Linked DNA regions of Drosophila melanogaster. The protein of the gene in region 4 purifies or fractionates together with the protein of the main gene of each other region. This does not show direct contact. Each region holds a gene or a part of one and is shown on either strand. Other genes may lie near its edges.

Region 1 (5,408 bases), 1.7 Mb from region 4:
CCCGCGCGGCACAGATTCCACCCAGCTCCGGATCTGGTCCTCCTGCTCCATTGCCAACGACAGCGGTGTGATCCGTCGGAGGCATGGATAAATTGGAACTGAAGCATTCGCCGTGCCACTCTGGGCCACACAGATGCCACTTTGTGTGCGCTTTCAGTACAGAAATGAACTTGTGTGATCTTATTGAGTACATACCTATTTAAGTTCTAGACATTAGGAGTCGCATATTGTAAATATATATTTTTAGGACATAGGATGAAAATTAAAGTGAATTATTTAATTGAAAATAATGACTTTTAACTTTGGGAAAGTTCATGATTAAGTACAATATAAAAATCGGTTCTTAATGGTAAAATACAAAATAAATTAGTTCTATGAATCATGAAAAATCAGTTCTTATCAAAAATAAATAAGTTCCATAAAGCATAAACTCAGAAATCGTGTAATCGACATTATTTAAAAATGAAAAAGTAATGGTTTCTAATTTACATACGATTAACCGCTGCCACCGTATGGCTATTAACCTTAGATTCAGCAGATTTTAAAGCTTACGGTAGACAAGTTTTATTTATTGTAATTAGTTATCAATATGTGTATATGTTTTTTCATCTTGTATTGAGAAGTCAACAATTATACAGCTAAGCGCAGTGTGAATACCGAGGAAATAAATTATAGGTGGAGTTCAGCAAAACGTTGTAGACTATCACATAGATAAACGGTATTCGTGGGATCTAAAGCTATTTACAGAGAATAAATACACTTGTAAGATTATAATAAATAGTTGTACGTAAGTTCGCAACACAATAATATCCAACGAAAAATGCACAAATGAGAAACACAAATCAGGGCCGAAGGGAAATTGTGCAGGACTTGTCCCAATATGATTTAAGAACGATTCGAAACGAACTCGTAAACAGCCAAGTTTTAGATTGCATTGCAATGAGCAACATTCAAAGTTTGTAGAAGCCCGACTTTTACAAAAAGCCTCCATTCGTGATTATTGCTATTGTTTAATCGCTGTTGCTTATCAGCGACTCCTGTTGTTCGTCATCGTTGACCCTAGGCAAGAAATTATGCTGTTAAAAGACAGTTCATATTGCCAGAACACCAGACTCACCTAACAATGCTTGGCTTATGGCACCGGCAGACTTTTCTATACACAATCCTAAAGAGCTTCATCAGTGGGTCGGAATCGTCGTTACGCATCAATAGCGAAACGAACACCAGGGCCACAAAGATGGGTATCGAGCCCATGTAGAACATCGGCGAATACGGTTTGTTCTTCAGCAGGACATCGAACAGGATGGCTAGCGGAATCTGTAGCGACATTGCCAGCGTGCCAATCAGTGAGGATGTCAAAAAGCAGCCCCACAGCCAAAGAGCCTCCGACAGCACAGTGCCAACTAAGCCGTTCAAAAATAGAAGGGCAAACTGCCCTTGACTGGGCAGCTCAAAGGTTTCTATTTTGGTGAAGTGGAGGATAAAGAATATTGGCCATAAAAGCAACATATTCCATAGGCCAACAAAACCTAAAAAGGGAGTCAGAAGATAAGCAGCGATCAAACTCAAAATTTAGCAATTTTACTCACCGAAAAACAATGGTATATCGACCTTCTCCTCCGTATCGCTTTTTCGCTTCACGAAAACCAAATAGGCGGCATAGAAGAAAGCGCTGAAAAGGGCTAAAAGGACGCCTCTGGTCATCTTGGTATCGTGTAGGTCGTTCATGGTGATGGCCACCACTCCGCCAATGTTCATGGCCACCGCAATCACCTTGGTGATAGTCAGCTTGTCACCTGTTGCCGAGGGAAATACGGCTGCCAGGCAGATAATGAAGAATGACGATGTTGAGCTAACCAGTGTTATCATGGCCGCCTCGTCCATTTCCAGGGCCAGCTGAAAGAAGTAATTGGCCGCAAACCAGAGCAGACAAAAGAGTAGCGCAGTCTTTGCCGTTTTGTGGTGTGTCTTTTGGCGCCTAATTCTCAAGCTGGCGGCATACGAAAGCCTGGCCATTAAGGCATCGGTGGCTTCGTGGGCAGACATCTCTCTGACTTCGGCCATCTTGCTGAAGCGCACACTTCTTACACTTGAATCATCGCTTTCGGTGCCCGATATGGAGTTTGAGGTGCCATTGGATTGTCCTCCGGCTCCTAAGTGAGGCGATCTGATGGGCACATAGGTTGGGTCTCCCTAGTAGGTATAGACAAAGGTTACATCTTTTTGTACATAATATATGATTGTATGATTTGCCTACCAAAACAGCCTGATTGGAGTAATAATTCTCGTCATCTGCATTCTGCTCCATCATCTAAGGGAAGAAGAATCACTTAGTAGGGTTTATAATTAGGATATCTAATTACTTACAGCATAGTTTCCATTCTGTCGCTCGCATGACTCTTTCCAGGGAGCCAGGATACCGATGACTAGCAGGTAAATGCTGAACATGGAGGTTTTGAAGTATGTGCAGAAGAAGGGCTTGTCAAAATTGGCCTCATTGTACAGGAACTAGTAAAGTATATCAAAATTCAAACCGATTTCCAAATGTTTTCAAAACAAAATTATCACCTTTGTCAGCTCACTGGATGAGACCCAAACCACATCGACTAGTACCAGTATTGATATGCCCAACAGGAGACGTTGTGTGCGACCTAGCATGATTATTCGCCTGTTTTTCGAATGTTTTCCAAACGAACTTAGCTTCTTTTCCCGCCTTTTGGGGGATGTCTTGCTCCTTCGGTTATCCGTTGACAAATAACTATTTACGCTTGTGCCGCCAGCGTTTTAGTTTCATTGTTGCGGTGTCTTTAGGTTCTGCTTTCAAAAGTGATAAAAGGTCCGTGGTCCGTGAATTTTACACAGATAAACCTTGGGCTTTAGGTAGTCATTTTAGCTAGAATGGAAAAATTGGAGGGAGTGTGTGAGTGCATAAAGTTGGTAGGGATCTGCATTTATTGATTTTTTGTTGACGAGTGGGTGCGGCATTATTCAAGGCGCAAATTACTATTTAACACGTTTGAATCGAATCGCTTTTGTTAGGTAGCAGCAATTCGATTAACAAAGCCATCGGTCAATTAACATCTGCTTGAGCAGATATCTCCATCTAATTTGGGATTATCACCGATCGCGGTGATCAGATAAGTATAAACAAATTAGCAAGATTTCGGGGGGACTGACTGATAAGATATGTGGCTTTGAAAACCAATTGTTTGTTGGGTAAATAAGAATACATTTGTCGAGTGTGGAGAGGGGGAGGGTGGGAGTGGGCGGCAGGTTGTTGATAACAGGCCAAAAACAAAATCAATAAACACAGGCAGCGATATGAAGTCTGAAAAAGTCAACAAGTCTACTGGTCATCACTTAATTGTGATATTATCTACAGTTCTGCGGCTATGCTTGACTTATTTATGCAGTTTTTACCACTTGATTCCTCTTTTGAAGGCGGAACTTTTTTCCTTCCCACTGCCGCAATTGTTTTCTTTGTGTTTGTTTTGTTGAGCGGAAACAATATTTATGGTTTTCTATTTTCTAGGATTTGTCTTAACTCAAGTGGGTTTTCAGATTACACTCTTGGGAGTAATGTGCGTTATAATACTGATATTCTGATTATGATTTTTTATCCGCACAGCTGGACAGAGCTGCTATTAGTGATGGTACAACATCAACCTATCGAAACTATCGATGTATTCAACTTCTTATATCGCATCGATTGTTTTTTGCGTCTTGAATATATAATATATATTTTGTGATAACAATGCTATTATATATAAATGCCTACAAATTCTCTTATTCCATTCCTTTTCATAACTTTCACTAAAGCTGAAGTTATCTGAGAGAAGCCAACTTCAATGCTTCATCAGAAACAATTGGCTGATTAATACATTAATAATAATATATTTAAAATTAATAAAACATTATAAAATAACTGAAGACGTATCGTTTATGGATTAATTAAAAGGCATGGCAACGCTGGTTGCCCAACGTATTTATATCAAAAGGTGGCAGCGCATATGCGAAATTGAAAAGTGTGGCAATGTGGAATAACCGCCAAAACCTTTGGTATTTTAAAATTTCAACTTCCTTTATATTTGCCGACCCATTAAAATAAACTCAATTTGTTGATCCAAGGAAGAATATTTATTCCACGCTTTGTGCAATACACTTATATAAATACATTATACATGTAATACAAAATATTTTTGCTCCTCTCTCTGAGTGTGTGTGTAAAACATGTTGCAAAATTTGTCGGGTTAGCACAAAGATTCAATAATATATTAATTATAAAGAAATTTAAATGCGTTCGATTTCAGTTTTGAAGTATTCGATCGTTCAATATAGCGTAATTTCTTTTTTGTTTTCTTATTTTCGTTTTGAAGAGTACATAATTTTGTGTGTTTTTGGTTTTCTTTTGGGTACTTTTTTAGCCAGCATGCACAGACTGAAATGAAGAGAAAGGAAACGTAAAGTGAATCGAAACCAGGGAATTTATATCGCAAAACAAGGCTCAAATCAAACGAAGGTAGCAAACGAAAGCAGCGTCCTCCTGTCTACAAAGTCTTTTGATTGCCATTTGTTTTGGTTTCGATTGCGTCGTCATTCATTCACCTCGACGAGCTCTGAAGTTAGATAAATTCAGAATTGGAACGTACCCGAGCAATGTCCACGCCGGTTATGTTCTTGACCAGCTCTGGCACTTTGTTGACGATCGACAGAACCTCGCCGGTCAGCTTGGCAGCACCGATATCGCCAGTTCCGCTGGACACCATCGTGATCTTCTTAGCCTGTGACAGTGGAGCAGCCACCTCGGCGGCAACCTGCGAATTAGATTCAACATAGAATAAATTATAGATTCTTTTAATCTAACCATTGACAAACCTTTGGCAGTGTGTCCAGGAGCATCTCCACCATGGCAGCCTCACGGTACTCACGATAGGCCTCTGCCTTCATGGCCATCTGCTCGGCCTCTGCTTTAGCCTTGGCCGCAATGGCAAAGGCCTCAGCCTCACCACGAATCCTGATCTGTTGCAAAGAAGATGGAGATGCTTCAGTTAATCGTAGTCTATAAGCAAATATTTAGATGGTATCTAACCGATTCAGCCTCGGCCTCGGCTTCCATGACCACGCGCTGCTTGTTGGCCTCGGCCAATTTCTCCATGCGGAACTTCTCCGCCTCGGCCGGTCGGCGGATGGTGGCCTCCAGCTCTCGCTCGCGGCGCATGATCTCCTGCTCCTGGACGGCAATCTCCTGCGTGCGCTCGATCACCTTCACCTGCATCTGCTCCTCCTTGATGCGCTGCTTGGTCTTGGCCGCTTGCAGCTCGTAGGCCATCTCGGCCTCGGCCTTTTTGGTCTGCACTTCCACATCGTATGCTGCCTTCTTCAGCTCAAAGTCGCGCTGGGCCTTGGCA
Region 2 (4,626 bases), on a different chromosome or scaffold from region 4:
GGCCTGCTGCTGCAGAGCCACCGGCAACTGGCTGAGGGTGAGACTTAGACTGGGAATAGTCACTGGCAGACTACTCTTTGGTTCGGGCTGCAGCTGGGGCTGATTGTTCGGGTTGTTGGGGTCGCTAGGAGCAAAGTACTGATATTCGTCTAGGGCCGCACTGCTGCTGTTGTTGTTGCTGCTATTGCGGCTTACGCAGTTGTTGTTATTGTTGCTGCTGCCTGTGGCTACTGGTGCTGAATCCAAAGAGCCGTGCTTGATGCGCTCGCGAGATCTAAAAAGCAAAAGTTGTAATTAGCTTTTTTGGAAAGCGGGTGCTTGCCTCAAGGTTAGCAGATAGGTGCTATGATGCAGATCCGCAGGCATGCATTTCATTCTTGCCTGTTGGTCAGTTCTGGACCGACCACATGAAACAAATTCAAAGTTTTAATAGAATTTCTATGTATACCCTTCCTAAATGCTTAAATTTAGATTTGACTTGCACACAATCCTTGTGAATTATCTAGACATTTATATTCTTATCTGCGTCATTGTTCTTATTCGGTAGACAACAGTTATTTTCTTTAACTAGTTTTTATTTGATTTGATTTCAGTAAAATCAATGTAAATTTATTGTAACCGAGGAAGGTGACTTGCGTATTATTTTGAGAACTATCTCGACATTTATATTCCCAATCCCTTACACTAATCATTCTTCTTATAACAATAAAAACTTAAAAATCGCGTAAAATCAAAATCTAAATGTTGAATATGTAAATATGTTTAGGCTTTTAAGTGACGGTGATTATTTCGCGGTCACCTCTCTCCGAATTTGCTCAAACAACTTTTTCAGTGATTATAATCGGAACACAATTGCTGTAGTCGAAAACCCGACTATCACATACCCGTTACTCAGCTAGTGCGAACGCGAAATTCTATAATTTTCCTTGCTTGTCGATAGATATTGGGGAATTAAAATTGTTGTGAGCGGTTTGAATTTTTCAGAAGAGGCGTAGCCAAAGTGTTTTTGGTATATCGGTAAGATAAAAAAAATGAAACCAAGAAAAATGAAAACATTTTTCAAAAGTGTGGTATTTTATAGTTCCTGAGCTCGAGGCTTGGCTATTGATCCTGTTCAGAAATATATATATGTACCTTATATGGTCGAAAACGCTTCCTTTTACCTGTTACACACTTTTCAACGAATTTAGTAAACCCTTTTTCCAAAGACACTAGAACAAATAACTGGAATGTCCAAAATCCCTTAAACGGGATCTACATATATCATAAGGTAGTATTTTAGGGCAGGTCAAACGTCGTCTTACTTGCGTTCCCGAATGACCTCCTTGAGGAAGGCCATGGCATCGTAGTATTCCCACTTGGACTTGAAGCGCGTGGTGCCCAGCATCTTTTCGTGGTTCAGCTCGCGGCGGAAGATCTCGCGGAGCGAAGTAAACGTGCGCTGCACCCGCTCGCCATTAACGTTGAAGAGCCGCCCCAACTCGTTCCATTTGATGGCTTTTCGCTTGTCCGAACGCTTGTAGTGTGGCAGGCGGCAGTCCCAGAGGATTGGGTTGAGTCGCACGAGCTCGATGAGTCGGCGCTTCTCGATGTTGTGGCGGGAAAAGGCCATGCTCCTCCGCTCTCTGCTCTTTCAGTCGCTGTTGGCCGAAATGCAACTACCAAAAAGGCCACTGCGCATGTCCTGTGTCGCCGGATGCTGCGCTGCAAAGTAAGTATAGAAATGAGGTGAGAAAATCGTTAAAGTTGCTTGTGCTGATGGTCGCCATGTTCGTTGCATACTTTTCGGCGTATTTCTCGGGTGGGTGCTTAGGGGTTCAAAAGTGTTGACACACGCACCCACGCACCTTGGGTGCAATGACCCCAGCAGGAGGGGTGTTTTTGTTTTCGAAATCGCATACGCACAGTTAAATACAATTGATTTTCGGGAGTATGGGTCCCACTGAAACTGAGACAACAGAGGGGACAAATCAAATACGGGAAATCTGCTTATAGCAGACCCTACAAACCCCAACCCCCACCTCCCCCATCAATTAATGTATGTATTCCACTTTCCCATAAGAGGCTGTTAGTTAAACAATAATCGAATACTGTAAACATTGGCATTCTGAGAGGCTGACTCGGCAGGAAAGTATTTACATACGATTTCGTGTGCCGATCGAGGAATTTCAGCTGCTACTGTTGGTCTGCGACCGATCTGATTGTGGAGGGAACAAGACTACACAAGGATTGGTATTGGTAGGACGCCTCCTTCTCTTTGGCTGCAGCTTGAACTCATTTGCAGTGCACAGCACGCCACACACTCACTAATGGGAACACACTGGGGTCTATAAATAAACGCATGTGCTCTTTTTGGTTATTGCCACCAATTGCTTGTGATACCAACATTATTCACATTGTTCGCTCGGAATTCCTTAGATGTTCTGGTTGTTTGTCGCTTGTACTCAAAGTCGTCTGACGCCTGGAATGGAACTAAAACCTTTTGCTCACAGTTTTGTTTACTGCTGCTGATTCGCTGTTGCGTCGCTCCGGCTTCTCTTTATTAACAATATGAGCAGCAAAGTCGGGGAATTTATTTCAATTTATTTCAATTAACAACAAATGCGGCCGTTGGTGCTTTGCCATGCGGCGTAGTTGCTGCCACTTATTGGGGATGCTGTTGTTATGTGTTGTGTTGCGAGTTGCTCGAGGGCCTTGCCACAACTATTGGCTGCCACAGATTCAGATACAGATACAGATGTTCGGCAACACGGCAAAATAACCACACTCATACACGCGCCCGGCCCTGTTGTCAGTGTGAAATCGCGTATATGTATACACACATTGCCTATGCGGACAGCCGAGAGAGACGAAAACATCAAAAAACAACACGAATAGCGAACTTTGACGAAAATCTGCAGCCAAACGGGCAGCTAACTTGCGATTACTACTAGTGAACCTGTCACTATTTGGTACATCCACTTGCCACTTTTCACTTGTCACCTCTCGCTTGGCCGTTCGTTGGCTTGGCAGCTTCCTTTTAGAGAGTGCGCCGCTGCTCTCCTCGACGATTGTCACAACTGCACAGCAAACCAACTTAGTTTTCTTGCAAATTGGCGCAGCAGCACAAAGAGAGCCGGAGAGAAAGTGAGCGAATGGCGCTTTTCTTTTCTGCTCCGCTCCAGAGCGCAAAGCACGGGAGAGAGAATGAGAGCAGAGGATGCTATTGTTGTTGTTGCAGTGCCGCCTACGCTGGTGTAAACAATCGGAGGCTGCCAATCCTATGCTATTACACTACACAACAAAAGAAATTGGCATAGTGAGGGAGCCTAGAGGGCTGCGTGAATAATGTAATTATAAACTCAACTTTTTGTGTGTGTGTGGAGTGATACGAAAAGATATTTACTTGGTATCTATTTAGGACTATATTAGACATATCCTCCACTCAAACGGGACGCATTTTAAAATAAATAAAATGAAATTTAATAAAAAAATGTATATTATAGGAAACCTTTAAAGCCGTCTTCTTTAAAACACCTTGGTGGAGTACCGGTAAAATATTAGCCATCTATCTATTCATCGAAATCATTACATAAATGGCATTATATATATTCTGTTTATCTATTCTAAAATATATAACTGATAGCTGAAGAAATAGCTGAAGTTTGGAAATGTTCTAGTCACAGTGTTTCAAACTTTGTTAGGCAGTGTTATTTTCGCTGTGAAAAATATTTATCGCCGTTGCGGTTCCGTTTGTGGCAGTGACACGTTATCGCCGAGCCGTGCCCAGTGATTAATCCAAGAGTGATAGCACTAAGTGGCTTGTGAGCGCTATTTGCTTACCACCAGCCGGATAAATAATGAACGGATTGCACCCAGGATTGGCAGCACCCGGCAATGAGCGCAGTCTCCGCAAAGCAACAATTGTACGCTGAGCTGTAGCTGAAGCAACAGCTTGAGCATGAGAGTTCCGAGAGAGCAAGGGATGAAGTCGAGGTCGAGTTTTGGTAGCAAGCTGAGCTGTGGCACAGGAATGAGCGAGGGAGGAGGCAAGGGGCACAGAGGACGAACTGCGGATTAACAATGGTAGCCACTCGCTCTGCTCGCGCGCCATTCGGCATTCGGCATCTATCATCCCATTTGGCTGCACTGCTGGTGCGGATATTTAACAATGCGAACAAGCACAAACAAAAAGGCTGCGCACACACACACGCGCGCTGGCAAATATTCAATTTGCCACTGCTGCAATCAACTTTATTGCCCGCTGTTGCTGTTGCTCTTGTTTACTCGTTGTTGTCTCCCGCTTGGTCATCTAAAAAATAAGCTTTAAGAATGAACTCGTATTTATCAATCGCACCAACACAGCCATCCGTGTTTTCGCTCTCCCTTTCCTTTTTCAGCAGAACGCAGCATACCGCTTTGTCTGATTCTGATTCGACTTATCAGTATGCGTTCTCGGCGCTGATGAATCTGCAGTTGAGTCGAACGCGGTCCACAGCTTAAATTAAATCCATTACTGCAATGTAATCCGTGGTACACAAATATTTTCGGATAGGCAACAGCATGTCACGGGCGTGTCAGATTGGGATAAAATCAGCTGAGTAGGGCGACTTCGGTTCCGTTAGGGGCCAGGGAAAATTGCCTATT
Region 3 (5,820 bases), on a different chromosome or scaffold from region 4:
GGGCGGTCAGTTCCAATTGTCTGATTTCCTCAGGAGTCAATGCACAATTGAGTTGAGCGCTGGCCCACAGGAATGTGGCCAAGTCTTTGGAGCGCAGGTCTCCAGGCTTGAGAAGAGTCATGAGTCGTTTTACGACGACAGTTAGGCATTCATTCTGATCCCAAAGCTGCTCGGCAAAGAATGCAAAGATATGGGCAAGTCCTCGGGGTTCAATATGGGTTATCTTTACAGGATCCAGACAGATATCTTGCAGGTGCTGGCACACTCGTTCATCTTTGACTTGCTGCAGACGCAATGCCTTGACAAAGGAGACCAGCAAGGCATCGCTTCCGGTGTTTATCTCCAGATTTAATATGGCATTAACGAGTCTTGCTTCGTATGCCGTTTTCGCCTCACCGGTTACCAAAGTTGAGGTTTTGTACGCCGCATTGCTGACCACGGCAAGGTCCATTTCATTTAGTTCAGGCAAATGCGTTTGTAGATGCTCTTCCAGGAGTTGCTGGAATTCCTCAGAAGATTTGGCCTGCTTCTTTTGCAATCCCATATAGAAGCACACCTGAACGAATCGCTCCTTGTTGCCGCGAAAATCCTCCCTGACCAGTCGTTGCATGGCTGCTTGGTAAAAATCCAATCGCTTTATCCAACTTGGTATGAGGAATAGAAAGGAGTAGAGCGTCTCGAGCACTGTGGCGGTATCCATCTTGTCCAGCTGTTTAGCCGCATGGTTATCCAACGTGTTAAGCGCAGTCACATACATGGGTACAGCGGCATTGGAGCGATAGCTGGATGCCTGGATGATCAGGGCGGGCAATTGGGCTGCATCCGTTTTCTCTACCGTCCGCTGAAAGTACCGGTCGTCCGTGATGGGAAAGAAGTCAGAGTACCGGACCGTCGTCTTGGGCAACACGTGATCCGAATCCCTGTAGCGCTCCAGTGCAATGTGCTTGGCGAAGCGGGTCAGCAGTGTGCCGGTCTCATCGCTGCTCCGCAATACATCTCTGGGCGTAAGGGAGGCGTAGGTTCTGATGGGACATCCCAAGTTGGTGACGCCGGCAAAGCGGCGAAGCAGGGCGTACATATCGGATGCACTTCTTCTCAATTTATGTAATGAATTTACAAAACAACGTGCAAGTCCGCAAGCATACGTTAAATCTGCATTCGCTTTTCAACACTGACTAATTTCCTCTCACACGAAGTGAACTACTAATAAGCAAAAGAGGGAAACAGCTAGAAAAGCACCACTGTTATTGGAGACTTTCGAGCACTGTTCAAACACCTGTTTCGGTTAATTGATAGCAACAACATGGAAAAGGCAGCTGGTTTTGTTATTTTTCGCCGCCTTTGTGGGGAAATACAATACCTATTGCTGAAGGCTTCCTACGGCTCCTTCCACTGGAGTTCTCCCAAGGGACATGTGGACCCAGGCGAGGATGATTTTACCACTGCCCTGCGAGAAACGAAAGAGGAAGCCGGGAAAGTGCACAACGATATATCTTTTAAAACATGCTTAATTTCAAAAATGCTCTCATAGGTACGACGAGAAGGATCTGATCATATACAAGGACACTCCGCTGACCCTGAATTATCAGGTGCAAGACAAGCCGAAGATTGTTATTTACTGGCTAGCGGAGCTGCGGAATCCCTGCCAGGAGCCCATTCTCTCCGAGGAGCACACCGACCTCAAGTGGCTGCCCAAGGAGGAGGCCAAGCAGTGCGTCGGCTTTAAGGATAACCAAGTCATGATCGACAAGTTCCACCAAATGATTTTAGATCAAAACAAACCAATGTGAACTGAAAACAATTGCCGGTCTAATGTTGGGCAACACAGAAATTAAAATAAAAAAAGCACAGAAAATACCGTATCAAAAAAAATACCAGAATTATGTCAGGCCAGTATGCCAACGTTGTGCACACTGTTTTAAGGCATCTGTGAAAATTGCTCGAGAAATTAAATTCGCTCTCATTGATTTGTTGTGGCAGCCAAGTTAAGCCCTTCGACTAGCTCGAAATCTTATACAATCACACAATCCAGCACCATGGGCTCCCGTTCACGTACACCCAGTCCGTCGGGCAAGCGACGCCACCATAAGAGCAAGCACAAAAAACGCAGTAAGTCCCACCACGACCACGAGCGGCCCAGCACAAGAACGGATAGAGACAAGTCCTCGGAGGTGAACAACCATGGACGACATCGCGAACGGGACAGGGACCGCGAGCGGGATAGACACCGCAGCGACCGACACACTGAGCGCGACTACCGTCACTCCCCCTCGATCCTGAAATCCCGAAAACGCTCCAGCTCGTCGAGCAGCGACAGTCAGTACTCCGAGCAGGAGTCGCAACGTAGCAAACAGAAGCGCAGCCGCTTTAAGAAGCTGGATGAGGTAAGTGGATAGTGTCCATAGTCTGTCATCTTGAGCACTCCATGGGTACGCATTCCATACACGCATTTTTCCGGGATGGACACTCATGCTGCGCTTATGATACAACTGTTTCGATGAAAGCAACTAAACTATGATCTACCATTACAGCAAAACCAGATGCAGGTCGAACGCCTGGCCGAGATGGAGCGGCAGCGTCGGGCGAAGGAGCTCGAGCAAAAGACAATCGAAGAGGAAGCCGCCAAGCGCATAGAGATGCTGGTAAAAAAGCGCGTCGAGGAGGAGCTAGAAAAGCGTCGCGACGAAATCGAACAGGAGGTCAATCGACGCGTTGAGACCGCCAAGGCTGAGATGGAGCGCGAAATGATGCTGGAGCTGGAGCGGCGGCGAGAGCAGATACGCGAAGAAGAACGCCGGCGCGAGGTAGGTGCTCGTATTCAGATTCCGCTGGACGACTGCTGCTATCACTGTCAGAAACACGTACACAATGCCACATTTACCGTACACTTGAATAAATCCAAAACAGCAGTTCAAACAGTCGTCTCCACCACGTCACGCGAAATCGATCCGGCGGCGCTCTCAGTCGCGGCTCACTGGCTGTTCATCCATCAACCCATGTCCCATCAGCAGCCTCCCCGTACTAGATTGCTTGCATAACCCTGGGCCAAGGGCGCCCACTAACCGGGTACATCACTAACCAGTCGCAACTTTTCAGAGCCCTCCCCACATGATGCAGCAAGCTAAATGCTGTGAGCCGAGATGAGAACGCCACGGCTCGTTTTGCCCCTTTTTTTCTTCTTGCCAATAATTTTGTAACTTTTTATTTTTCCTACCAAAAAAGCCAAAATGACGACATTGCCAAGTGTCGCATGTGTCAAAGTTTTGATGCCCATTATTGCAGACTTATTGCATACTCTTAGCTTCATCTTTTGTTCGTTCCTACCCACATACTGTATCATTTTAATTTTTTTGGTATTGGTTCTCGTAACTCGTTGTTGTTGTTATTGCGCGCAAATTCCGCTTCAGTAGGCCCGTGCAACGAACGTGCTGCTCTTGTCCCGTATGCAAGTGGGTGTGTGTGGCTGTTTTGTGATCCTTACCCGCAAAACACTCGCGTGCACTCCACGTTGTGCCGCCATGCCGGAAGTTGAGCAAGCCTGCTGCCGAGCGATTGGTCCACGGACGCATTTCCTCCACACCAAACAATAAATATCAAAAGAATCAAAGAAATACCAAAGCCCAGCGAAGTGGTATGGTGTCCCTAAGTTAGTCCGGGTAGTTAGGCACTCTAGTTGTGGGCGGGCCGACTGAGTTTAGTCCCAACAGTACGCTGCATGCAAATCAAATCACTGCCACTTTTGATAACGGGTGAGTTTCCTACGCCAGCGATGTGTGATGTTGCCCAGCAGCCGTAAGGATAACAGGCGAGAAAGGACGGCGCACAGACCCAAAGACTCAAAGACTCCCCCCAGGGTTTAGCTCTATAGAACTCTGTCTGTAAGAATTTTTGAAACCGGATACGCATTGGATTGCCACTTATTTGTGTTTAAGCTTTTTGTTTTTGCGAGCAAATTACATATGTACGTCTGGAATAGCGAAAAACTCCACAAAAATAATCCCAAATCGAAAATCTGCAAAAAAAAAAAAAAAGAAAACCATAAATTAACACAAATTTAGCCTATTTACTGGAATAATGACCTATTTAAATAGTAAGTAGCAACAATAAAAAAAAAAAAAAACCAAATGAAGACCAACCATTTAGCAAATACTAGTACATTTGTTTATGTTGTGTGCTCCTTTATTGTAATAAACTAAAAGAACAACCTACTTTAAACATTCTTATTAGACACTACTAAATGTTTTACTTTCTACCGAAAATATTCTTTGTAACTTATTGTTAAACATAAAACTAGATTTTAACTGCCTTTGCAGCTCATCAAGCAAAAAACTGCAACCACAAACGTGCGTCGAATTCGTCGCACAGTTTGCATCGCTGATGTCAAGAGACTGTTTATTTCTATAATTAGCATTAAGCTTCTCGCTAAAGGATCGATTTTTGTTATTAATCGTCTTCTTGTTTGGGTTTTATAGGAGGATGAAAAACAAAAACGCGAAGAGCTCGAAGAAATTTTGGCCGAAAACAATCGCAAAATCGAAGAGGCGCAAAGAAAACTGGTAAGAATTCATAGCAAACAAACCATATTATTATGATCATAATTGATTTCTTTTTTCTTTAGGCCGAAGAACGGTTAGCAATAATCGAGGAGCAGCGCCTTATGGACGAGGAGCGGCAACGCATGCGCAAGGAGCAGGAGAAGCGCGTCAAGGAAGAGCAGAAGGTCATATTAGGCAAAAACAATTCCAGGCCCAAGCTATCGTTCTCCCTGAAACCGGGCGCATTATGAGGAGCGTAGGCATCAGTCTGGTGACCGTCGCACCTTTTCTTGTTAACAGCTTTTGCTTTTTTTTTTACCTCAGTGGCTATTTGCCTGCGACACAGACCATGCACTCGTTTTCATTGTTGTAATTGTGTTCTATATTATTTTTATTATTTTAAGGACGAGCTGTGGTGCTGAGAGCAGGCAAAGCACAGCCAATAGATTCAACGTTTTCAAAATTGCCAATTACTGAACACATACGGCTCTATATAGTACAATACGCTAGCGATTTACTTAACCTTTTCTACATAAAGAATTCATATGTGAGACAAATGATTATGTGTAGTGCGTCGTATTGTTGTCACAGCTGAACGATTAACAAAAAAGAAGAAAAAAAAAAAAAGAAAACCAAAAAGATGTCAGTGAAATACATATGTAATCTATTTGCAATTTTTTGATATTTCAAGAAAACATAGAAATCAGCTGAAATCGATAATAAAAAACTTTAGAAATGCCAAAAGTTGAATATTATTATATATAATCTGTATAAGCTTAAGTGTTTCAGATTTGCAATGCAAGAGCTACAAGTGCATTAGCGAGCGAATTAAGCACCATTCGCTTAGTAAATTTGACAGTTTTGCCAAAACATACGTGCGCTTTTCAGCTCCTCCATCCTCCACCGAATCCCCCGATCCCCTTTGGTATCGGACACGATCTAAGCCAGTGTACATGTCGCTAAGTAGACACAACTTATTATTTATAGAGACTACTTCAATTTATATGTCTCTTGTTGCTGATTGGGTTGGGCGACGCTGGACAGCGGGCGACAGCCGGCACGCCCGCGCGTAGCATGGAACTGGAGGCTGCGATCAGGTGGAGAGGCGGCGGTGTCCGATCTGTCCAAGTGCGTGCGTGCGCAGGAGGCGGGGATGCCGAATTGGTAGGCGACTTCACTCAGAGTCGTAATGTGGTTCTAAGCGAATGTGGCGCAAGATATGCCTGTTATGCATACGCACCAAGGTACTCCGCTCCAACGAAACTCCACCTGACCCCCACCTCGA
Region 4 (3,746 bases):
ATCCGGGCATACGTCGAGGATTGGTTACATATCGAAACTACGAGTTTACCACCGAACTAAGTGATCCCTGTGTGATTGAACCAAAGGGGAATCGTTTCCGATTTACAGAACATTGTCCCATGCACAGGGATAAGAACTACTCACGGTCACGAAATTATCGACATTTAGCTCGTTGTTGCGATGACTCCGATGCCTCCAGGCACTATAAAAATCCACATGGCTCGAGAAGGATACGGGGAGGTATAGATTTCCATGAGATTGAATATTCTTCACGAAGGCAACGCTACACAGCGCACAATTTTCCAAAAAACATGCCTTCCAAACTCGAAAGCAACAAGACACAACCATGGAAGTCACCTAAGCACTTATTTTGTTTCGATTAGAAATAGGAGGATAATCGGGCTAGCAAGCCGACTGTCAAGTGGCCATACCATGTTTATACTAATGGATTACCACCTGACATGCGGACTAGCATACCTCATATACTAATGACAAATTATGGTAAATTGTTCATTTTCAAATTATCACGATTAAAGTTTTAATTGCGTAGAAACAACAGTTTTTCTTTTAGATAATATAAATGCAAAGCTGGCTGGGATTGATTAGGGTAGTATTTACTCGTTGGTAAACTTGGCAGGGCGCTTCTCGGCGAAAGCGGTCATGCCCTCCTTGCGATCGGCCTATTGGATGAAAGAAAATACAAGAGATTAAATAGTGTTAAGCAGATATTTAAACTTGAACTAACCGTGGAGAACGTGGCATGGAAGGTGCGACGCTCGAACTTCAGGCCCTCTTGGAGAGTGGTCTCGTAAGCCGTGTTAACCGCCTCCTTGCACAGCTGCACGATCAGATTGGAGTGGGTGCCGATCTTCTCGCCCAGCTTGACGGCCTCGCCCAATAACTGGTCGGCGGGCACCACCTTGCTGGCCAGACCCAGCTTCTCAGCCTCCTGGGCGCCGATCATATTGCCGGTGAGGCACATTTCCATGGCCTTGGACTTGCCAACGACGCGGGTCAGACGCTGGGTGCCACCGGCACCGGGAATGGTGCCCAGGGCAATTTCAGGCTGACCAAACTTGGCCTTGTCACCGGCATATATGATGTCGCACATCATGGCCAGCTCACAGCCACCGCCCAAGGCGTAACCATTCACGGCAGCAATGATGGGCTTCTGGGTGCGGGCCACCTCTGTCCAGTCGTTCAAGAAGTTGCCCTGGATGCACTGCGAGTAGGTGTTGCCCACCATCTCCTTAATATCAGCGCCAGCGGCGAAGGCCTTCTCGCTGCCCGTCAAAACGATGGCGGAGATGGTCTTATCCTTGCTGAATTGCTGCAATGCGGTGGACAGCTCCTTCATCAGGCCATTGCAGAGGGCATTCAGGGCCTTGGGGCGGTTCAGGGTGATCACGCCTACGTTCTTGCCCTCGCCGGCCACTTCGGTCTTGATGTACTCCCAGTTGTTGTTGGTGGCTGAAAAGAGATGGCATCATAAATGAGGTGATCGTATGTGCGCGAATGTTACGCAATCAATGTTTATTTGCCTGGAAAAGTACAAAAGATGTCGCCAAGAAACCGGCGGCACTTGATATCTTGATATTCCGGCTTAGGTTGGAGCTGGGCATCAATCGCGTGGACTTTGATCCCTCGCAATCAACCATCTACTTACAGGAGCTGCTGAAACGGGTGGCCACCTGTGGCTGACGGGCGGCTGCCTGCAGGACGCACTGGGCGCGGCTAGCGAAGATCTTAGCAATGTTGGCCATTTTCAATTGAAGGAACTCTGAGCCGGCTGCAAGTGCAATTCGTTATCTAATCTGTGGCGGTATCTGGCATGGAGCCACTCTAGAACTTGGGATACTTACGCTGCGAAGCACTGGAGCAATATTGGCGCACTAGTGGGGCAGGTGTGACCGCGTTCGCTCCCACCAGAAATGCCACTATTTCCAGTCACTGTTTCAGTCACAGTTTGGGTCGCAGCAACAAGTGGTTCTAGCATTACAGCTGTTAACGCAAAAGTATTGTTAACAGCCGAAATTAAAATGTGCAACCTAATAACACAATTATTATGTTCTTAAATCTGTTTTAATATATTTACAATATAATACTACTTCTCACGTTTTACTCTAAAAATAAATATACATTCGTATTTAAGCTTTTAATTTTTATGGAGAACTTGAAATAACATTATTTACATAAGATAAGCCTAGATAGTTTGAAATTAACAGTACTTTTTATCAACAACTTGGCTGGTAAATAAGTAAGTATGCGTGATCACATGTTTAGCTTTGTAAAAATTAATTCCTAGACCTTTGGTATTGAAGATGTCTGGGGAAGATTACTGCTGGTCTCCACCAGCCAAATGTGCTCCTCTCGTTGCCTTCTTGAGCCATTTTCTCGACGCACCCGCCAAATTAGAAACACCAATACCACGATTAGGAAGCAGAATATTACTATAACCAAGCTGAAAACATACGCTTGGGGTGCTAAAAGTAAATAAATTAGTATTAATGAAGAAACTTTTGATAAATACACAACTTACTTTCACAGTAAGGAAACTTCCTAGCCCACAATGCGTCCTGGCAAATGTTCTGGTTCTCGCCTTTCAGTCTGTGCTCCGCCGGGCAGTCGTAGTAGATACGGGTGCCATTGGCTACCCTTGATCCTACAGTGAGGATTGCATCTGTGAAGTGCTTAACCATAACGTTTGGCAGTTGGGGAACCACGCACTCCCCGTTCTCCTGAAGAGGATTTGGTCGTGACGCCTTCCTTGTTACAGGAACAGTGGGAGTTATCCTATGGATACTACTTTCCGTAGTTGTACTTGTCGTTGAACTGACTGTAGTCGTTGGTATGGTAACGCCCTCGCAAAGGGACTCCAGCTCATCGTCTCCATCTCGGCAGTCACGGATGCCATCACACAATTTGGAATAGGTCATGCATTGGCCAGAGGAGCAGTACATTTCCCAGTTGTCGCAGTTAGCCTGCTGCATCTGCGCCCGGCACAGCCAACCCTGCTCATCCGAACCATCCACGCAGTCCTGGACGCCATCGCAAACCGCTGTGCTGGCTATGCACGCACCGTAGCTGCAGCGAAATGCATAACCCGGACACCAGACCTTCTCACACATGGCGACCGTCTCATCGGAACCATCCAAGCAGTTGGCGCTCCCATCGCACAGCTGGTCCAGTTGGATACAGTCGCCTCCTCCACAGCGATGCCCGCAGCTTGTGGCATTTTGGGATCCCAAGCAAATGGTGACGGCTAAGGAGAGAAAAATCACCAGCTGAATTGAGAGATTCTGATGCGCTCCGAACATTCTAAATGGGTTCCAATCGACAGACTGACGGTTCCATGGCGCAGTTAAGGGTATTATTACGAGAGTTGTCCAAACCAGTTTGATGATGATACGGCTCTAGCTGTGCACAATTATCAGTCATGGGGTTTTCTGAGCGGCAGTCAGTATTTTCAATGACCGAGCTTATCACGTTTTTAGATAATCCTATCAAAGGGATATTCCAAAGTTGTATCGAGTTTGCCATTAGTTGTGATGCACGTTTTGTGGCGAAACATTCCCGTTTCCAAATCCAAATCCGGAAATGTTTAATATACTTTTGGTTACTAACATGCCTCCAATAATTTGCCATCAAGAATATAAAAAAGTAAGTTCACTAAACAGATTCAAAAATATTTGAACTTGAATAAAAACTTGTTATATTCTTTTATCGTTTATTTATATATTTGTTCA

What was found.
Region 1: the proteins of Echs1 (region 4) and CG8195 purify together in Drosophila melanogaster (affinity purification with mass spectrometry, with the first as the bait; one large-scale study listed by BioGRID). This does not show direct contact.
Region 2: the proteins of Echs1 (region 4) and CG12768 purify together in Drosophila melanogaster (affinity purification with mass spectrometry, with the first as the bait; one large-scale study listed by BioGRID). This does not show direct contact.
Region 3: the proteins of Echs1 (region 4) and Arglu1 purify together in Drosophila melanogaster (affinity purification with mass spectrometry, with the first as the bait; one large-scale study listed by BioGRID). This does not show direct contact.

The regions. Positions count from the first base shown.
Region 1 is NT_033778.4:15,562,154-15,567,561, forward strand, and holds CG8195 (uncharacterized protein), read right to left. Parts: upstream 3,649-5,408; 5' UTR 3,421-3,648; intron 2,894-3,420; 5' UTR 2,659-2,893; coding exon 2,569-2,658; intron 2,509-2,568; coding exon 2,368-2,508; intron 2,312-2,367; coding exon 2,258-2,311; intron 2,194-2,257; coding exon 1,590-2,193; intron 1,530-1,589; coding exon 1,118-1,529; intron 1,060-1,117; coding exon 1,011-1,059; 3' UTR 544-1,010; downstream 1-543. Other genes in the region: CG12963 (uncharacterized protein), read left to right, coding at 1-71; Flo1 (flotillin 1), read right to left, coding at 4,421-4,438, 4,650-4,814, 4,876-5,019, 5,090-5,408.
Region 2 is NT_037436.4:22,908,912-22,913,537, reverse strand, and holds the start of CG12768 (uncharacterized protein), read right to left. Parts: upstream 3,048-4,626; 5' UTR 2,966-3,047; intron 2,706-2,965; exon of another isoform or gene 2,387-2,705; intron 1,949-2,386; exon of another isoform or gene 1,783-1,948; intron 1,705-1,782; 5' UTR 1,613-1,704; coding exon 1,305-1,612; intron 275-1,304; coding exon 1-274.
Region 3 is NT_033779.5:9,934,222-9,940,041, reverse strand, and holds Arglu1 (arginine and glutamate rich 1), read left to right. Parts: upstream 1-1,907; 5' UTR 1,908-2,036; coding exon 2,037-2,384; exon of another isoform or gene 2,385-2,531; coding exon 2,532-2,804; coding exon of another isoform or gene 2,805-3,038; exon of another isoform or gene 3,039-4,472; coding exon 4,473-4,556; intron 4,557-4,618; coding exon 4,619-4,786; 3' UTR 4,787-5,275; downstream 5,276-5,820. Other genes in the region: CG4619 (uncharacterized protein), read right to left, coding at 1-1,078. UniProt on the Drosophila melanogaster protein: Post-transcriptional regulator of gene expression; modulates splicing and premature cleavage at cryptic polyadenylation sites of its own pre-mRNA through binding and regulation of the U1-snRNP complex.
Region 4 is NT_033778.4:13,852,436-13,856,181, forward strand, and holds Echs1 (Enoyl-CoA hydratase, short chain 1), read right to left. Parts: upstream 1,897-3,746; 5' UTR 1,764-1,896; coding exon 1,667-1,763; intron 1,471-1,666; coding exon 746-1,470; intron 681-745; coding exon 615-680; 3' UTR 512-614; downstream 1-511. Other genes in the region: CG30485 (uncharacterized protein), read left to right, coding at 1-383; CG6553 (uncharacterized protein), read right to left, coding at 2,302-2,483, 2,540-3,317.